2 linked regions of the Mytilus edulis genome follow. The protein of the gene in region 2 binds, or shares a complex with, the protein of the main gene of each other region. Links are inferred from orthologs where the notes say so. Each region holds a gene or a part of one and is shown on either strand. Other genes may lie near its edges.

Region 1 (11,182 bases), about 66 Mb from region 2:
GAATTTGAATTAAAATTGGGCGTGAATGAGTAGAGTGTGAATGTGCGTACGTGTAGGGTGCGAAAATGTATTGGGCACAAACAGACCTGATGCCACACAGTCTGAACCCCCTTCTCCCACAAAATATTAAGTAAACAATCTTTTTGTTACTGCTATCAAAGGTCTAATGAAACTCAGATAGTTTCAAACATTTGTCAAAGAATTCTAGTCAAACTGGCACCTAGTTAAATTGGCACCTGAACGTCGTAGGAAGGCGTCCCAGAAAAATAATAAAATAGCCTTGCCAGACGTCATAATTATTTGGACTAATACATGAGATATTGTGTATTTTTCTGCATTATTTTAACCAGTTGAGCATTTTACAGGATTGTTGGTTTAATGCTGTTTAAACTTTACTGAAAAACAAACACCTTAAATTTGCTAATTATTTGGCATGAAAGTTTGATTTATTGAAAGGGACTCATAGTTTTCCATTTTATTTTAATAATTGACTTGTTTTTACAATTACACAAATTGTCTAATTGTTAAAACAACAGCTTTGGTAAGGGCTTCGTTGTTTACCTTTATACACTACATATTCACTTTCGTTTCGTGGTTTACCAAAATACACAACAACATATTCACTATGTACTTGGTAACAGTAATTAATTAATTGAATAGAAAATATTATATCAAATATTATTGGATGCCGAATTGACGTCGAATAGGTGCCGATTTGACTAGATGCCAATTTAACCAGGTGCCGACTTGACTTGTACGTTTCAATTCCTCTGCGATCGTTTGCGGTATTTTCTTGAGAAAACCTATTTTCCATCATCAAAGAGAAGAAGAAACTGCTTTAAAATGATTCTGGAACGCTTCATGATTGTTAAAATAAGTTTAATTCACTCAAAAACAATTTTAAAACTTGCGATTAAACAGGAAGTTTCCAAAGCACGTGTAAAAGAAGAAATTAACCGGTGAGAGTGGAAATCCGTATATGACAGATATCCCTATAGTACGACTTTGAAAGTAAAACAGTTCAATCCTTTTGTAAAACAATCTTTAATATACCTATCACATTAATGTTTGAATGGTCTTAAGCTTATTCAAACCATATAAGTCGGTATGAAACACCAAAACGGAATGAACAATAACCGATTACGTTTTGTAGTTTACAAATTCTAAAACTGGTTCCCGTCAAACTACAACACTTTGTTCGAGTGTAGTGGAATACAAGCAAAAACCAGTGTAAACTGGGTCCTGGCTGGTTTAATACTACACAATGATGCATAATGATAACACAAGCAGATTCCAGTTTGTTTGGAAAATAGGAAATACGAAACCAAGCGCGGTAGGCAGAGCAATGTAATGAAGTTCAGGTCGGCAGTTATGGAACAATGACTGCGTCATTTTCCAAAAATTACCAATTGGAGGGCAGCAACCCAACAACCAGTTGTCCAATTCATCTGAAAAATTCAGGGCAGATAGATATTGACTTGATTAACAATTTAACTTCTTGTCTGATTTGCTCTAGATGCTTTGGTTTCATAGTTATAAGCCAAAAACTGCATTTTACCCCTATGTTCTATTTTTAGCCGTGGCGGCCATCTTGGTTGAATGGCCAGGTCATCGGACACATTTTTCAAACTAGATACCCCAAAGATGATTGTGGCCTAGTAGTTTCAGTGGAGATTTTGTAAAAGATTACTTAGATTTATGAAAAATGGTTAAAGATTGACTATAAAGGGCAATAACTCCTAAAGGGGTCAACTGACCATTTTGGTCATGTTGACTTATTTGTAGATCTTACTTTGCTGAACATTATTGCTGTTTACAATTTATCTCTATCTATAATAATATTCAAGATAATAACCAAAAACAGCAAAATTTCCTCAAAATTACCAACTCAGGGGCAGCAACCCAACAACCAATTGACCAATTCATCTGAAAATTTCAGGGCAGATAGATCTTGACCTGATAAACATTTTTATCCCATGTCAGATTTCCTCAAAATGCTTTGGTTTTTGAGTTATAAGCCAAAAACTGCATTTTACCCCTTTGTTCTATTTTTAGCCATGGCGGCCATCTTGGTTGGTTGACCAGGTCATGCCACACATTTTTTAAACTAGATACCCCAAAGATGATTGTGGCCAAGTTTGGATTAATTTGGCCCAGTAGTTTCAGAGGAGAAGATTTTTGTAAAAGATTACTTTAATTAACGAAAAATGGTTAAAAATTGACTATAAAGGGCAATAACTCCTAAACGGGTCAACTGACCATTTTGGTCATGTTGACTTATTTGTAGATCTTACTTTGCTGAACATTATTGCTGTTTACAGTTTATCTCTATCTATAATAATATTCAAGATAATAACCAAAAACAGCAAAATTTCCTCAAAATTACCAATTCAGGGGCAGCAACCCAACAACCGATTGACCGATTCATCTGAAAATTTCAGGGCAGATAGATCTTGACCTGATAAACATTTTTACCCCATGTCAGATTTGCTCTAAATGCTTTGGTTTTTGAGTTATAAGCCAAAAACTGCATTTTACCCCTATGTTCTATTTTTAGCCGTGGCGGCCATCTTGGTTGGTTGACCGGGTCACGCCACACATTTTTTAAACTAGATACCCCAATGATGATTGTGGCCAAGTTTGGTTTGATTTGGCCCAGTAGTTTCAGAGGAGAAGATTTTTGTAAAAGCTAACGCCGGACGACGACGGACGACGGACGACGGACGCCGGACGCCGGACGCCGGACGCAAAGTGATGAGAAAAGCTCACTTGGCCCTTTGGGCCAGGTGAGCTAAAAAATTGATTTCTTCTGCAGAAAGACTAAATTTCTTTAAAAGAGCCAGCAGTTTATGAAGAGGTAAGGTAGCAGAAACAAATCATACCCATTGACTTGGAGGTAAATAAAAGTTTGATGAATTATACCCTGTTCACACTATGCCCTTTTAAACCAGGGTCGACCCAATTAATTAATGCGGGTTAAATTTAGGTAGTGTGAACGCCTTAATCTGGGGCGAACCCAGAATAAAATTACCCCTCATTCAAGGTGGAGTTAATGAGGGGCGAACCCAGGTTAAATACTTCACTTCTAAATGTGAATGCAAAGTAAAGTTAATGTGAGGTTGTTGCTATAGTGATGTTTGCTTAAATACGTTTTTAATGTGACGTGACTATTAATTGAGGTCATATATATATCGAATTACCTCAAATTTTGACAGACGTCCAGTTACCATATTTACAATGTCACTAATTATATACCCCATATTAAATTAGCAACAGCAAGAGCAATATATACATGTAAGTGTATAAATCTTTGTTTAAAAAAACCTGCATGTTGACAAAGATCGACAAACGATTAAACCTATATCATCTCCATTGTTTTTTTGGGCGAAAATGGGTGCAATTTGGATAATGTGATGTTATTCAAAAACACGGAAAGTGGTTGATGGATCTTGATGGTGATTGACTCACCAAAGTGACCAACTTGCGTGCTGCAAAAAAAAAATCAGACTTTAAAATAATGCATCTGTGATGAATGACTTTATGTCCTGTGACTTTTTGTCCTGTGACTTTCTGTCCGTTTACCTAGTGATTATACCTTTATAGAGGGATAAAATGACCCCTCTATGGACAGATCTTTTTGTTTAGACTGGATTTTTAGCAAATTAAGGCATATTGGCATTCTATACTTATTATGGCAGTAACCTGCAACATTTGATGCACCAATTGATGTGCTTAGTTTAATATGCATATGCCCAGTTTACTGCTGAACTGACTGAATATACAATCTATTGTTCACCATGATTGAAAGCTGTGATGATCAGGTAAATTCTACTCAGTTATGTCTCACTGAACAGAATTTCTATTGTTAGATTTATCCACAGGAGTTTGAAATCCTATCAATAAGGGGGAAGAAGCTCTACTGTGATAGTCGACTTTGGTATATTTTTACCCCCTTATTGATAGGATTTCAAACTCCTGTGCTCTGACTATAAAAGGATTATCCCTCTAGGCTCTATCCTTATAAAAAAGGTATAAACACCATATACGAGGGGGGATAGGAGGGGTCCTGATCCCGAAATCCCGGGCTTAAAAACACGAAATCCCGAGGTCCCGAATTTAAATAAAGTAAATCCCGACGTCCCGAAATCAGAAAAAAAGTATTCCCGGATCCCGAAAGGGTCAATCCCGAAATCCCGAGCTTAAAAACACCCGATCCCGGAGTCCCGATAAAGGTCCTATCCCCCCTCATATACTGTATAGAGGGTTTGTTCCCAACCTGTTAAATATTTGCTCATTTGTTATGATGAACGTTGTACTTTTAACATTAAAAATTTAATAAAGGGATTCGTCGTTTACCACTGCAATGCACTTGCTGTATTGTAAAGTTGCTGTTGTTGAGGATGGTATAGACCAGTGACCGCGATGTTTACCACATTTTTTTTTGCTGAGTTACATTTCCCGCAATTTTTTACCAAAGAGTAACAGAAAGGGAAGTAACTATCCCACAAGTTCCTAATATGAGCCCTACATTGTTTAAACTTTTCATAAATGATTTACCTGAAATATTTGATTCTAGCTATTGTCCAGTTTTACTAAACAACAGTAGCCTTAACTGTTTAATGTATGCAGATGACCTCATTATGATTTCTGAAACTTCATCTGGATTACAAAATTGTTTAGATAATTAATGGATTATTGTAATAAATGGGGACTAGAAATTAACATGAAAAAAACAAAAGTATTAATTTTTAATAACACAGGAAGAATATCAAAAAAAAATTCACATTTAATGGTCAGCTTATTAATAATGAGAAAAAATATAATTATCTTGGCATGATATTCACTGTATCTGGCAGATTTACACAGATGCTAATAATTAATTAATTAACTTAAGTTTAATCTTTATAACTTATGGTATGATACTAAACCCCTAACGGGAAGGATTGTGCCTGATGTTCATATGATGAAATCATAATCTTTCAGTCAGTTTAATTGAAGTCTGGAGCTGGCATGTCAGTTAACTGCTAGTAGTCTGTTGTTATTTATGTATTATTGTCATTTTGTTTATTTTCTTTGGTTACATCTTCTGACATCAGACTCGGATTTCTCTTGAACTGAATTTTAATGTGCGTATTGTTATGCGTTTACTTTACTACATTGGTTAGAGGTATAGGGGGAGGGTTGAGATCTCACAAACATGTTTAATCCCGCCGCAATTTTGCGCCTGTCCCAAGTCAGGAGCCTCTGGCCTTTGTTAGTCTTGTATGATTTTAAATTTTGGTTTCTTGTGTATAACTCGGAGTTTAGTATGGCGTCCATTGTCACTGTACTATTATGCATATTTTAGGGGCCGGCTGAGGGACACCTACGGGTGCGGGAATTCTCGCTGCATTGAAGACCCATTGGTTGCCTTCGGCTGTTGTTTGCTCTATGGTCGGGTGGTTGTCGCTTTGACATATTCACCATTTCCTTTCTCAATTTTAGTAAAGCATTAAAAGCCTTTTTTAAATAAAAAAGATTTTTCACCCATTTTAAACCTAATATTAAAACACTTTTACATCCAGGGCCGTAACTACATGGAGGCAAATGAGGCAAATGCCTCATGTTGGAAATTTGAAAAAAAAAATTGAAACAAAAGCTTGTCTTCATATCAAATTGTTTTCACGGTGAGTGTCTTGCAAGAAGCAAGTTCTCTTCACTCTCTGATGTCGCCCCTGCATGTTCTCTTCACTATCTGATGTCGCCCCTGCATGTTTTTCGTGATCTATGTTTCTAATTTACTTTTAGTTTTCAGTGTTGATGGTCTTTTGTTTGTAGTTATGTGTCTTATCTGTACCCGGGTTTGTCTTTTGTTCATTTATTGTCCTACTTTATGACTATAGTCTAAGTGATGATTTTCTTTTGTAAATCTAGTAATTTTGTTTAAAACTTGAGTTTTCTTATACTGAAGGACCTTTTGTCTAATTGAAAAAACTACATTCAATTGTAAGAATATTTGAAATTAGATCTACGATGACGGGTGAACGGTTGTATGGTTTTTGGCAATGTTGCATGTCCACCGATGTCCAGACATTGTGCGAGAAAATATTTTAAGAAGATACGATGCTACTGGACACAGAAAAATTGGTCGTTTCTTCATGAAGAATTGAATTTAATATTAAAGAATACAAAACTGGCTCTCTTTTTTGTAGATAAAACTAGATAGCTGACATGGGTTAAATTAAAGTGAGACCACCAATCTCGCGGTATCAAATCATTTGAAAAAAAACCAACAATGTATTGCCATATATGACCTTTTACATTGAAGCGCTTGCAATTAAGTCGTGATCAGACCCTTTAATACAAAATAAAGGAATATGGAGTAAACGTGCACGGGACTTAATCGCACACAGAGTCAATACATAGAAAAAAATACAAATTATCTATGATCAGGGTTTTTATCCCTGTTCTTCATCTTGATAGTCGCTAACCTGAGGGTCTTCAGCAATGAAAGAATCATTAATACCATAAAACAAAGTCAAGATGGTCCCTAATGTCGACTTAAGCGGTACTTAAAGTATAATACTGCACTGTCACTATATCTAAATTCAGTCATATTTTTTTTCTTCCAAAGTCTAAACACAATACAAGACAAGAACAGACAGATCTGGTATCAAAATGATTATGAGAATTACGATTTTTGCTTTATCCTACATATCGGTCTTTTGATGTTGTCCCTTAAACCTAAAAGTTTTTATTTACAATGAATCTATATATTTTGCTTTGAGACCAGAATATTGTCGAAAAAATAGCTAAAAATTTAATTGCGTTTCAGAGTAAGAAAGAGTCCGGGAAACGGTCAGAATGCACGATTTTGCGTCATTTTTTTCAGAGCTTCTGAGGGCCTTGAGCGGCCTCCAGACCCTTCGCCTCGCTTCGCTCGGCGAATATATTTTGTCTGGCGTACTAAATTATAATCCTGGTACCTTTGATAACTATTTTAAAAGAAGCTAGTTACGGCCCTGACATCTTTTTGACCACATACTGAAGCCAATTTTGTTATATGGCTCAGAAATTTGGGGCCAATTCTCTCCAAATAAGTTACAATCTAAAGAAGACAAATATTTTTTCCAAATGTGCAAAGATCTAGTTATCGAAAAATTACATGTTAAATTTTGTAAATATTCTCTACAGGTACCTAGAAGATCAACAAACCTAGCAGTGATGGGAGAGTTGGGGCGCTACCCCCTATCTCTTGAGGTTATTCTTAATATGACTAAATTTTGGCTCAGACTTGCAGAACAAAAGAACTCTCTCATTAAAGAAGCATTTGAAGAGTCCAAAATTTTATCTAAAACATATAAAGACAATTGGTTAGGAAGCATTTATTCATTATTTAAATATCTGAATTTAACCCCAGAATATTTGTTAAGGTGGTATGGGTGTCTTCCTCCATCTTGGATCGTAAAAAACAGAGAACCAAAGGTCTAGATTTTCCATCAAGTTAGCAAAATTTGATGCAGGAATAAAGATATTTAATGTGAATTTTCGTTTATAAGAACTAATTTATAAGAATATAACTTATAAATATCAATATTTTTGTAAATGTACACTATTTTTGGTTGTTTTTAGTTTTTTTTAAATTGGCATTTTAAGGGGAGGTAACTCTAAAACAGTGCATTTTCTGAAGGATTCTACGTGGAATTTTCCTATTTTGTATTTTAGTACTGATTGTGTTCACTCACTCATTATCTTTGAGAATATATACTGTGTTTGTTGTCTCCCTTCTCTTATATAATATAGTTTTTGTTTTATTGTCATGTATTGTAACTTCAATGAAAAAAATCACCACATTTGTACACTTTAATTTAAACTACTAGTATAATTGTACTGCTCCTCGGGGCGTCTTGATTGACAAAATAAAAATTATTGTTGTTGTTGTTCTGTTCTAGTATGTACAATGCACCTCCGTTTATATTAGGAGCACTCCACTTACCAGATGAGCATTTTTTGAAATACTTAACAACAATATATAGAAAAGAAATATTCGTTTGCCCATCTAGGTTTAATTTTCGAAATTTTCCGTTATCTAGCCGATTTCGCTACGAGAGAATCGAGTAAGCACTCCATCACCCCCTTTTTTCCCCCTATTTTACTTTTTCCAAAATAAATTCTTTCCCTGAAGATATGGTTATAATCTCAATCTGAGACTACTATAATGTGTTATAGTAGTCTCAGTCTCAATTCATATTTCTAATGGAGTTTGCAACCATAATTACCCATTCAAAAACAATTTAAACGAGAAAACTAATGGCCTAATTTTTGTACAAAAAATGATCGAAAAACAAATATGTGACACATTTATAACAAACGACAACTACTGAATTACAGGCTCCTGACTTAATGCTTATTTGGGCCCCTTTTTGACCCCTTATTCCTAAACTGTTGAGACCATAACCCCCATAATCACTCCCAACCTTCCTTAGCGGTTATAAACCTTGCGTATACATTTCATGGATTTCTATTTACTGAAGTTAATGTCCGGAAACAAACTGTCTTCGGACGTCGACAACGTGATACCAATATACGACCACAATTTATTTTTGCGTCGTATAAAAATTTTTTCGTTTACTTTCTCTAACTTTAGTTTGTCTCATTCAAATGGTATCATGTTTGAATTTTGGTGGTCTCACTTAAATTGTTATAGAGTTATGGCCCTTTACAAATGGATTTTTTTTTTTTTTTTTTTTTTTTTTTTTTTATATATATGCGGAATTTTTTGTTTTTGTTCTCAAGCAAACATTATGAAACTACAACGCAATGCGTATTACCATAAAAGACAGATTAAGCATGCATTTAGGTAGTTTCACTTTTATCCGATTCTTGAGTTAATATGTATCTTGATAATCCTATATCCAAGCAGGGTCATCATCTGTGTCTAATGGGCACATTCCCCATTTATCTAGATATTTGGTGCCTGTTTACCCATCATTGAAAGTCAAGTTGTGACACTCCCAAGCGTGTCTATCCCCCAAACGTGTCCGATACCCCCAAACGTGTCTATTCTCCATAAACTTGTCCGTAATATTCATTATTGCCCAAACGTGTCCGATTTCGTAACCCCAAACCTGTCCGATAATTGATAATCATAATTGCAAATTTAATCCGTAACTTATGAATTAACTTTTGACTGAAATGCTCATCGTCCAGTTGCAAATATTTCATGCGGATTTAAAGCGAACATACAAATAATTTAAGTACAGTAAAATTATTCGTTTACTGTTTTAATTATTTTGTACTAATAAACTCGGATGATGCGTTTTATATTAATCCGAATATTGCACGGCTGGCTTTCCGCAGAATTGATTTTTTCAACATTTCTGGTACTTTAAAAACCCTTCAAAGCATAAACTGTTTATCAGGTTTTTTAATAGATTTTAGATTTCGAGCATCATTAAAGACACACAAACAAGAGACATAACGTCAAGTGTCAACTATTTCTTCATATAAGAAAAAAAATAACCGTTAATGTTTTTTGTTCTTTTGTTCACTATGATTTTTTTTTTATATAAATTAGTCCGTTAGTTTTTCTCGTTTGTAAATTGTTTAATCACAGTATTTGTCATTTCGAGGGGGGGGGTCTGTTATAGCTGTCGACTATGTGGTATGGGCCAGCTCATTGTTGAAGGCCGTACGGTGACCTAGAGATGTTAATTTCTATGTCATTTGGTCCCTTCTGGAGAGTTGTCTCATAGGCAATCATACCACTTCTTTTTTATATTTATTATTTATGGACAAGACCGGGAAATTTGTCCAAATCTGTAATTTTGCACGAATATTTCTGGACTTTGTGCAACCATATAGCTCGTGAAATAGTTGCAGGTATATTTTTTTAAAACGTGTGAGTACTTCTGAAGCGACTTTTAAGTGACATATTGCTCGAAGAACGCATTTAGTGATGATAGCCATGTTGTTCATATTTAAATACATATCATGACACACTCGTTCATATGATCTTTGCTTAACCAACTCTAAACCGATTTAATTGGTTATAATTCGACAGTAAATCCATATTTCTACATTATCTATATGAAAGTGTTACTTTAAAACACAAAGGGATGTTTACCTTTGAAAATATCACATGCGTTGCAAATGCATCTATTTAAAAAAAAAAACCACTATTTAATCTTTCGGGTACGCAAATACAAAAGCCATATTGTAAATAAATGTTCGATCAATTATTTTCTTCAAACTGTGTTCGAATACGGCATTTCAAAATTTTATGTTTTACAGTGCAAGTGCTCGAACACAGCATGGAAACTATACAGCATGTATATGCAATGCATATAATATTTGTTTGCTGTATCTTCTGTGTGTTAGGAGATAATATATCAACCTAAATGAGGGACCTATATAATTTAGCATTTAAGGAGTTTGATGCGCAGAGATACAACCTACGCCTAGGGACAACGGTACAATTTAACATAAATGTGATGTTCCATTTGTTTGCCTTTAACAGCTTTAAAACAACGAAGTAGATGGTGTAGTGGGAGCTATCAGTTTTTTCTGGACAGATGGATCTCTTATATGGAACAAAACATTGACGGCATACAAAAAATTGCATGTACCACAGTCAAAGGTATGGACCTCGAATGTGATTCTTGTTACAATATGATAAAATATAATTCAAAAATAAAATTGAATAAGGGTTTAAAATGTCTTTGGTGCGTTAAAATAATTAAAAGATACTAACAAAAAAATATTATGTACACAGCACAAATTGCGACAGTACCTTAAGACTTTTGAAAAAGCTTGTCAATGAGTCCCAACGATTATCTTGAGGTAAATGAGGCATAAACTAGCTCACATAAGCATTGTGACCTAGGAATTCTACTGCACGGATTCGAATTCGTCTATCTGACTTTTTCTTTCTTTTTCTCCATTATAGAATAGATTATAGAATAGAATTAAATAAGTTTATTCATAATTAATGGGCACATAAGGACCCACGGCTATATCAGATTAAAAAAACACATAACAAACAAACAAACAATACAAAAAAAAAACCCATAACTGAATGAAAGAATTACTTGATTTATAAACAGAAAAGGACAAATAAAAAAAAAACTTTATTCATGCAATACATTCACTAAATTTTATCATCGGCATAAGGACATCACTCGTAAATATAAATTAACATGTA
Region 2 (10,771 bases):
AGGTGAAAAACAGTGGTTTGTTACAATTTGAGAAACTAGAGAAAATCAAGTCATTCAAGTGATTTTTTTTAATGGTTCGTGTGGAAATAAACTTGGCAAATTGTAACAAAACCCTCTAACATCCCTTGGCCAATCTGGGTCCATTCGCACCCATTCACTTTCACCCTTTTTTACTTTCGCACCCTACCATTCCCGCCCAATTTTTATTTGCCTTGTGTTTAATAATTTGTAAACGTCAACTTTGGTAGGTGTATTGCTATAAATATATATTTTTTCATTGTTTTTAAATAAAGTAAAATTCTGACAACCAGTATTTATTTTTGTGTTGAATAATTCTTTACCATATTTTGATTAGTGTATTATAATAAATATTTTTTTTATTGTTTCTAGTAAATGAAGTGTGAATATGACAACATTATTTTGGTGTTGAATAAATGGTAATTAGCATGGTAAGTGTTTTGCTATAAATATATAATTTGTTCATTGTTTCTAAATATAGTGAGATTCTGACAACGTTTTTTTCAATGTGTTGAATCTCGAGTGTTGAATAAATCTTAATCATGTTTAGGTAAGTGTTTTGCTCTATATATCTGTTACAGTGAATTTGTAGAATCACTGGCCAGTTTAGGGATTATACATAATCACTAAAAAGTTCAGGAATTATGTATAATCACTAGAAAAAACGTCAGGGATTATACAAAATAACTGAAATGAAGAAAAGTCAAACAAGTGAAACTGCGAGCTACTGCTCACTGATGATACCCCCGCCGCAAGTGGATAATATTAATAGTGTAAAAATATGCAAGTGTTCGGTAAACAGGAAGTTGTTGAGTGATGAATCTGAAAACGCATCACACAGTAAAGCTGACTTATATAAATCCTGAAACCAAATTTCAGAAATCCTTGTATTGTAGTTCCTGAGAAAAATGTGACGAAAATTTTCAACTTGGCTATCATGTGTAAAATCATACAAGTGTTCAGTAAACAGGAAGTTGTCGAGTGATGAATCTGATAACGCATCACACGGTAAAGCTGACTTATATAAATCCTGAAACCAAATTTCAGAAATCCTTGTATTGTAGTTCCTGAGAAAAATGTGACGAAAATTTTCAATTTGGCTATCATGTGTAAAATCATACAAGTGTTCGGTAAACAGGAAGTTGTCAAGTGATGAATCTGAAAACGCATCAAACGGTATGGCTGACATATATAAATGTTGATACCACATTACAGAAGGGGTGGATGTGTCGTTCCTGAGAAAAATGTGACGAAAGTTTTGTGGGACGGACTGACTGAAGGACGGACTGATGGACGGACTTAAAAATATGCAAGTGTTCAGTAAACAGGAAGTTGTCGAGTGATGAATCTGAAAACGCATCACATAGTAAAGCTGACTTATATAAATCCTGAAACCAAATTTCAGAAATCCTTGTATTGTAGTTCCTGAGAAAAATGTGACGAAAATTTTCAACTTGGCTATCATGTGTAAAATCATACAAGTGTTCGGTAAACAGGAAGTTGTCGAGTGATGAATCTGAAAACGCATCACATGGTAAAGCTGACTTATATAAATCCTGAAACCAAATTTCAGAAATCCTTGTATTGTAGTTCCTGAGAAAAATGTGACGAAAATTTTCAATTTGGCTATCATGTGTAAAATCATACAAGTGTTCGGTAAACAGGAAGTTGTCAAGTGATGAATCTGAAAACGCATCACACGGTATGGCTGACATATATAAATGTTGATACCAAATTACAGAAAGGGTGGATGTGTAGTTCCTGAGAAAAATGTGACGAAAGTTTTGTGGGACGGACTGACTGACGGACGGACTGATGGACGGACAGACTGACAGACAGAGGTAAAACAGTATAACCCCCCTTTTTTAAAGCGGAGGATAATAATTTAAGCTATAAAATCATATTTAAACAGCATAACACTGTAAAACATCAATTGTAAAATGTTAAGCACAAAATATCAAAATGATAACCCTATTTTTTTTAAATGTTAGGCACTTTATATTAAAATGTTAAACACAATATATTAAAATAATATGCTTCACATCTGTTTTTACCACAATATCCACATTTTAGAAAATATTTTTCTTCACATATCGAATCAGATTTTATGACCCGCCTAAGAGAAATAAAGTGTTCAGTAAAAACATCTGCTGTAGGTACACCCCAAAAAAGAAAAAAAGCAACCTGGAACTGGTTCGAGCAAGATACCATGTTTTTTGGGACAGGCGATATCCTTTTTCAGACTTTTGGTGAACAATTACTAATATGTTTTTTGGATTCCCTTTCCTTTTTTACTTTGTGGAATTTCAATGAGAATATTACACAAAATGCCAGCTTCCTCTAAAATATTATTACAATTGTCAATCCTTAGTTTTTCTATACATTTCGATCTGTAAGTTCTCTGTTTGAATTTCTTGTTCATTTGAAAAAAAAAAAAAAAAATAACAGATGTTCCATAATCTTCTTCACCATTTGTTTTACATATACCACAAATAACATGCTCTGTGGATTAACAAATAGAACATGAATATCCATTTGACACTGGCTTTTAATAAACAAACAATACAAGTAAAGTAAATGCTATAAAGGGAATCTTGATATTATTATTAATTTTGTAGTCTTCAACTTTTATCTCGAAACCCTGTGTTGGTTATACATTGTATCTTTAAGACATGTAAGATTATCCTCTGTATTTAAAAGCAAAATTATTTCATTTGGCAAGGAATATGAAAGTAAAAAATGATAATTTGTCTATTATATATTTATTTTTTGTTTTTTTATGAAACAAAGGATCCTTAAATTATTCATAATCCCTGAAATTATATTAGGGAATTTGTAGAATAATTATTGAAATGTTCCGTGATTATGTAAAATTACTGGTCATTTTCAGGGATTATATATAGTTACTAATGATTTTAGTGATTCTACATATTCCCTGAAAAATATAAATTCACTGTAACATCTCTATATATCTAAACACACGAGATCAAAGGAGCCGATTATGAATGTTTTTTATTTAAAATCTTCAAAGTGTTATACTCCTACCAAGCTAATAAAACATCAATCATGATTTTAAACACTCAACAATAACACCGGATTAGGCTGTATATGAATACCAATTAGCAGTAATCATACGTAATTAACATTTAATAATTAATCAACGAAACAAAAATCTATAAAATAATTCCTCAAATTTTATTCAAGAAAATAGAATTATTTGGTATATACTGTGACGAAAAAGTTTAGTATGGGACTTGAACTAAAGTGTGTATCCGTGTGTTTGTGCTGTGTTGTTTGGTGTACAAGTTTCAGGTCGTGCCTTTCACTTGTAAACGGACAACAAATGCCACACTGTATACTCATTAACAGGGTAACCCTTGAAACCTATTGGTAGCATGATTAAGTGAATTAATCCTGGTCACATAAATAAATAAATGGATCCTGGTGCAGTTTGAACAAAGTCTTGTAAGTGAACATAAACACGAAGTGGAATAAAAGTTCAATACTGTATTAATAAAATCACACAAATATATAAAGTTACAAGTATAACAAAAAGTACATCTAACATCAGGCTCAACAATACGATTCTCCCCTCTACTACATAAACGTTACTGTCCTCTCCTTTCTATAAATTCTCTCTCCCCCTTATCTGACACTCTTTCTCTCTTTTTTATCACTCCTACAAGCCCATATACAAATATAGACTACTAGGGCAATCGGGCTCTGTGTATTCCGTGTTCCGGTAATCCTTACTCCTAGCTATAGTGTTCCTGCTCCTTACATAAATTTACTAGGGCACCATATGCAAATCATTAGGGTTCACTAGTCAAACAAAGAAATCTAAACATAACTCTTAATCAATATAATCTCTGATGATCTTTAACTGTATTAAATGGCTATGTGTGAAAATACAGGTGCATGTAAACCTGATACAATCAGATAACACACTTAAAATATATCTAATATTTCAACTGAAATTCGAATTAAAATTGGACATAAATTTATAGGGTCGGAATGGATTTACGGGGCAAACATGTGAGGTGTGAACGTGTAGGGTACGAAAGTGTATCAGCCGCGAACGGACCATTGGGGTCCCTTTGCCACAGTTTCAGAGTAATCACGGACTGTGTGTAGTCTGGTTTGTTTTGTATATTTTTACTACAATGCTTGAAAACACGTCGTATCCCTATCAAATTCTTTAGTCATTTGAGATTTTTTCTGAATTATTTGAGATACATATGTATGACCTGATGACAAAACATTCAGTAACACTCACAGCCGTGTACCCTTGTTACTGGTACATAATAATTAAGGGGGGTTATAGTATCAATTCACGAAACAGCTATACTTCGTCCCTTCTCTCTTACAGCAGGGACATAATATCGCTTTTATTTACATGAATATTACCTATATTAATGATTGTATCAATGTAAACTACGCAACATTTCCTTCTTTGCTTGGCTTGCAGAAAAACGGCGGGAATTCCGAGGATTACTTTTTCCGGTCATTCGGTATGCCTTGGTAGTCTTCATAATCTCTATTCTCTAAAAAGAAATCTCGAGCAAAGATTTTATATGCTGAGACTACTATATGTATAACACATATGTTATAGAAGTCTCATAAATGTTAGTCAGTTAAACAATATTTTATTTTCAAAAGTGCACAAAATACAATTATACAATAGAAATATAGGGATTCGGAAACAAGAAGAACTTATAAAAATCCTGGAACAATTGTACTAAATTTAATATAGTATGTCTCAAGTCCACCGGTCCTACTAAAAAGCGCCCGGAAGCGCCCGAGAGCGCCCGGGAAAAGAAAAAGCGCCCGGGGAAAGGAAAGGGCACCCGGGGAAGGAAAATTAGCGCTCGGGGAGAATAAAATAATAATATTTTATAACAATAAATTTTTTCCTTAAAAAAAAATAATCATTGCTTGTTTTGTCCTTAATATAAATGTGGATATATGGTGCCTGAAGTCTAATATTTTCGCAACTGCATGGTGAACACTTTTTTATGCAGATGCTGATATACATTTATTATATCTTTTTTATGAAACTAAAACTGTTTCAATGGCTATGCTTATCAGGGTTTTCAAGTACTGCTTATTTTTAAATTTAAACCAAACTCCTGCTTTTTACCCCCTTGTTTTAACTACGGTACATGTATAGTACTGCTTTATTTGCTGATGTATTATGTGTAACTCTTTTAATTTTGATTAAATTAATATTAATCTGTGAAATTTTTTATTTTCATATCGTTTTTGAAAAACATGCCTTTTGATGTCTTACATTTTATAAATCTTCCGCATAAACTGTGATCCATTATAATCAGTCTTTCAAAATAGTATTCATAAATTATATTATTGTTAAAATTGAAACATTCATACTTGTTTTATTACAAATGTCTATTATCTGAATTTGAAAATTACTTGTCTAAAATTTAAAAAAAATAATGTGCATAACTTATTTCATCAACACAAAGTTGTCTCATGCCAATAAAATATCTATATATTTTCCCCGGGCGCTTTTTCTTTTCCCCGGGCGCCTTTTCTTTTTCCCGGGCGCTATTTTTTCTTCCCCGGGCGCATTTTAGTAGGACCCCAAGTCCACCTTCAGTAAATATTTTTTATGCTTTCAAGTTGATCAAATGCCAGACGAGAATCAGACTGAATGTTCGATAATTGAATAGAGCTCTAACAATGGAAGTAGGCTAATATACGAAGATTTTATGGCTATACATTTACACAAGAGAATTAAGATGTTTATAAATCAAACTGAATGTTCGGGAACTGAGCAGTGGCGGATCCAGAGGGGGGCGTAGAGGGCGTACGTTCCCCCTTTGCTTGGAATTTTTTTGTAAAATGGTTAACCAGACTAGACTTCGTGAACTTTGTCATTTCCCGTGTATTTAGTTTTTATGCGACAATTCTTTACTTCGAAAGATGTTTTTCGCTCGTATTTACTTTTTTATATTATTGGTTATGTCAAAGGAGTTAACCAGTGCGTCGATAAAAAGTCACTCAGTCATTTTGAAATTCAAATTTCAGTTACACATTGCCTATGCTGAGGGTGACAAGCATGACACCTTTAAAGCGACAGTAGGTTTAAAGAGCTCTTAAGAGCTCATGTTCATTATTATTATGTATATATGCAACTTTTATCCCATTACATACAAATATATAAGATGAGACATAAATTGAGAAACATAAAAAAAACAACATATTTTTACATTAACTGTTAAATAAGGTTGGTATATATATAGTCCCATGAAGCTGTGATGAGGGTCAATCTTTAATTTAAAGAATAGAAAATGTGACTGGCTAAAAAAAAGAAAGAATACTGAGATGAATGATAAAAAAGATTAGAACAGAGAATGATGGGTGCAAAAGTATAAAGAATACAGCTGTAGAAATACAGTACTGATAAAACTGAGAAACGGAGGATAAAGAAATTTACGTACTATGATTATGCCACTATACAGAAAATTTGAATAATGAAATAGTCATTTTGTGAGAATTTTTACAGAATATTCAAACCTTCCAGCTTTTTTTTTTTATCTTCCTCGATGGAATAACAAACGATAGAGAAAATGTACAATACAACAAAAGCAAATCAACAATTAAAACAAAACATTACATAGATTCAAAACAGTTCAAAACTAGAGAGTGGAGAGACAAAATAATAACTTTAGCGGTTTATATATATGTTTTTGTTGGCATTATCAAGTCTTTCAACATATTATTATTTTGGTTTTATCTGTGGTTGCTTTTCAATTCAATCAATACAAATATATAGTTTATTAGTTTATAAAACAGTATAGCTTTTTAGTTTAGTTGCTTTTTAAAATTTAGCGTGCAAGCACGATAACAACAAAACACCAAATCTAGTTTTAAATTTCTCTGACAAAGTAACAGCTTGAGTGACTGTATGAACGCGTAGCAAGGCAAGAAATCGAAGCAAGCAATGCTGAAATTTCTTCAACTAGAAATATTTTTCCTTTGTCTTCTTTTTCCTGTTATCTTTACAGCAAAACCATGCGCAAACATTCCACCATTTCTCAACCGTTTACGAGATGGCGTTGATATAACAAAACTTGACCTACTACCATTAAGTCTGGCCAGTAACGACGGATTCAGAAATCCTGTGATTGATTATACCTGTGACTTCAATATCACAAGAAACTTGGATGGGGTAAGTAGTCATAGGATTTACATAAGTATCTAGCCATGAATTCTTACTAAATGTGTAACACGTATATGTGTCATCCAACTGCAGATTACAATATCATAACATTTTAATATTCGTGTACATGCATAATGACCCCGTGATGTATTACAAAAATGTATCTGAATGATATACTTGCGAATGTGTTTGCCTATCACAAATTCAGATTATGAAAGTTACATATCAGCATCAGGTCAAACGTTTAGAAAAATGTTGTTTGTTCTGTATTTAGACCACTCTACCAATAAATTCGTTTTCCATCCACATGTATAAAAATTGCGGTTATATTATCCAACGCAATAATAGGTTTGAACGTTATTTTCAATTTAGACTTGTATATATCTGACCGGATGGAGTGCGATATAAACTCTACAAACTATTCCTGGTAATCGATATCAGTCAACCTGGATAGTTTTAATTTTGCACATTACATTTAAACTATTCTAAACACGTATTTTATAAAGGTCAAAATCACATGTAAAAATATGCAAAGTAGCCCATCTAAAGCACACCGAATATTAAACATATACGCAGTCAATGCAAAGCAATAGGGTATCACCAGCCCAGTAGTTAGCACTTTTGTGCTGACATGAATTATCATTGATATGGTTATATTTATAAATTAACTGTTTACAAAATTTAGAATTTTTGAAATACTAAGGCTTTTCTACCTCAGGCATAGATTACCTTAGCTGGATTTGGCAAAACTTTTAGGAATTTTGGTCCTTAATGATCTTCAACTTCGTACTTTATTTGGCCTTTTTAACTTTTTTGGATTCGAGCGTCACTGAGGAGTCTTTTGTAGACGAAACGCGGTCTGGCGTATATGCAAAATTTAGTCCTGGTATCTATGATGAGTTTTTTTATTCACATATAATGAAAAAAAACCAACATGTTAAACTAAAATACGATTTTGCGCCATTCAGAAAATGTTTCATGCATATAACTAAAACAAATTATAAAAAATTTTGAAAGGTGAAATCATGAGGTGATTTTTTTTTACAATTCCAAACAAATATGAGATTTCTGACCAGTGGCGGATCCAGAAATTTTCATTATGGGTTGCAGCCAGGCCTTAATGATTCCCTATATAATCAACCAAATTTTCCCCACAACAACGGGTGGGTGGGGTGAATGGGAACACTGGACCCTTAAATTTACCTCTGTAAACTGACCCAAATAAGAATGTTTGTACAAGTTTTCCAGAAACACGCTTTTTAACACACTTTTTAAGCAATTTATTTCATTAAAATGTCTAAAGAAAACTTAGATTTAATATTACAATTTCATCACCAGCCCAGTAGTCAACACTTCGGTGTTGACATGAATATCAATAACGTGGTCAGTTTTATAAATTTCTTGTTTACAAAACTTTGATTTTTTTTTTTAAATTAAGGATTTTCTTATCCCAGGCATAGATTACCTTAGCCGTACTTGGCACAACTTTTTGGAATTTTGGATCCTCAATGCTCTTCAACTTTATACTTGTTTGGCTTTATAAATATTTTGATATGAGCGTCACTGACGAGTCTTATGTAGACGAAACGCGCGTCTGGTGTACTAAATTATAATCCTGGTACCTTTGATAACTATTCAATTGATTATTACATTTTTTCAATCAAAGTTCTTTTATTTTTATACGATAGAAACTTTTCTTACAATTGAATGTCATACAAATGTTTTCAGATTGTCTACAGCATACCAGATCAAGTTTGGAGTATTGTAAATATTCCAAGTGGATTACTTGATACCCGTGTTGAAATACATAAGAACAGTCATAGCTTTAAAAATTCCCTGGCAGTAAAAGTTGGTATAAAAGTTTTTGGAGGATTATTTTCTTCAAGCTTGACATACAAGAAAGTACAAAGCTATTTCAGCAGTGGATCAAAGTATGTTGAAGATTTGACTTCCCATACAGCTGGGTTTAAAGTGAACATGATGCCGGAATGGGGACTTGAATTCGGTCAATTTGCTAAAATTTATATTGAAAAATTCTTGCCACACCATTTGAATGATACTACTATTACGAAGTACATGAGATTCATTGAAACTTTTGGAACACATTACTTTAAACAAGGGCGATTTGGAGGTATACTTCGACTTTTCCTGGCTACCGATACAAGTTACTTTCGAAAAGGCTCGGAAAAGAATGTTGAGATAGAGGCAAAATCAATATTCAAAAAGATTCTTAGCATTGGTGGAACATTTTCTATGAGTACAAAAAGTGATGATTCAAAATTTGCAGAGGCTTCAAGGAAGTTTGTAAGGTAGGTTATTTCAATTAGATAATAAAGGATTGAAGAACATTAACATTATATAAGATAGCATATTTTATTCATCTTTATCCAATTAAATTACTAGGTACCGAGCTAAGATCTTCATTGATGCCGTTTTACTAAAATGAGGAACACGAACATGAACCAACCACAACCACTGAACTTCAGGCTCCTGACTTTGGACAAGTACATAAAGAAACGCTTAACCCTCCCTGGGACAGTGGTGTAACAGCACAACATAAAAACAAAATATAAAAATCTATTGAAAAAGGCTTAACTCATCAGACTGATACAAAGCAAAAAAACACCAAACATATATAACACAAAAAATAATTTAAAAAAAATATATCATGTAAGAATTTAGAACAAAATCTACAAACCAACAACAAGAGGAACAACGAGATAACACAACATTTGAAAAATTGATTATAAGTTGTCCTATATTTGCAAATTCATTCTACACAATATTCGAAATATATTTTCGAATTTATGCATTGGTAGACTTCGGCTAGTTTCTGCTCTTTGGTCGGGTTGTTGTCTCTTAGACACTTACCCCATTTCCATTCTCAATTTTAAATTACTTTTTTTCTCGATATTATTATGCAATACCACATGCTGTTGCTATTTGAAAAAAATCATAAATGTGCATAAATAGATCTCTAACGTACCCGTTACCTTAAATGGGCATACACATGGAAGTTTGTTTTAGAAAGGCAACGACAATAAGGGGATAACATAAAAATAATTGGCAGTTTAGAAATCTAAACTGCATTGAGAACTTATTCATTGCAGTATACAACATAATAATATATGTTTAAACCATTTTAATTTGTAAACTGCTTAGTTTTCTTGTTAATTTAAGATAATTAATAAAAAATAAATTTTGCAGGCTCTGTTTTCCCCATCAATGTTTGACAATGCTCATAGTCTTGAAATTTTAGTTGTTTAGTAAATATCGACTGTCGACCATCAAGGCCGGCTATAGTAATTAGAATCATCAACGATTGTAAATGTTGATAGTTGTTAATTTGCATTTCAGATATTATGGAGGAAAGACTAATTTACTAGCAGAAGATAGTATTTCTACATGGCAACCAACCGTATTAAAAAATCCTTGGCTTTATGGAGGGGGTTTGGTAGAAATATCTGGAATGATTGAAGGTGACACCAAGAGACTGTCCATGCAAAAGGCCGTTCAGGTAAAACCCAAAATGTCTAGAGCTTCTATTTGCATTACATTGATAATATAACT

The links.
Region 1: the proteins of DNA repair protein REV1-like (region 2) and DNA polymerase kappa-like are in contact, whole or in part, in an NMR structure (PDB 2LSI), measured with the Homo sapiens proteins. The link is inferred for Mytilus edulis from reciprocal best matches to the Homo sapiens genes REV1 and POLK. Residues at the interface, in NP_057400.1 of Homo sapiens: Asn1158, Leu1159, Ala1160, Gly1161, Ala1162, Asp1167, Leu1171, Leu1172, Glu1174, Trp1175, Thr1178, Ile1179, Met1183, Glu1185, Asp1186, Gln1189, Val1190; in NP_001374042.1 of Homo sapiens: Lys564, Lys565, Ser566, Phe567, Phe568, Asp569, Lys571, Arg572, Arg575.

What each region holds. Positions count from the first base shown.
Region 1 is NC_092347.1:19,013,845-19,025,026, reverse strand, and holds the start of DNA polymerase kappa-like, read right to left. Parts: upstream 4,496-11,182; 5' UTR 4,357-4,495; intron 1-4,356. UniProt on the Homo sapiens protein: DNA polymerase specifically involved in DNA repair. Plays an important role in translesion synthesis, where the normal high-fidelity DNA polymerases cannot proceed and DNA synthesis stalls.
Region 2 is NC_092347.1:84,714,466-84,725,236, reverse strand, and holds the start of DNA repair protein REV1-like, read right to left. Parts: upstream 4,555-10,771; 5' UTR 4,426-4,554; intron 1-4,425. Other genes in the region: perivitellin-2 67 kDa subunit-like, read left to right, coding at 6,983-7,210, 8,930-9,510, 10,559-10,718. UniProt on the Homo sapiens protein: Deoxycytidyl transferase involved in DNA repair. Transfers a dCMP residue from dCTP to the 3'-end of a DNA primer in a template-dependent reaction.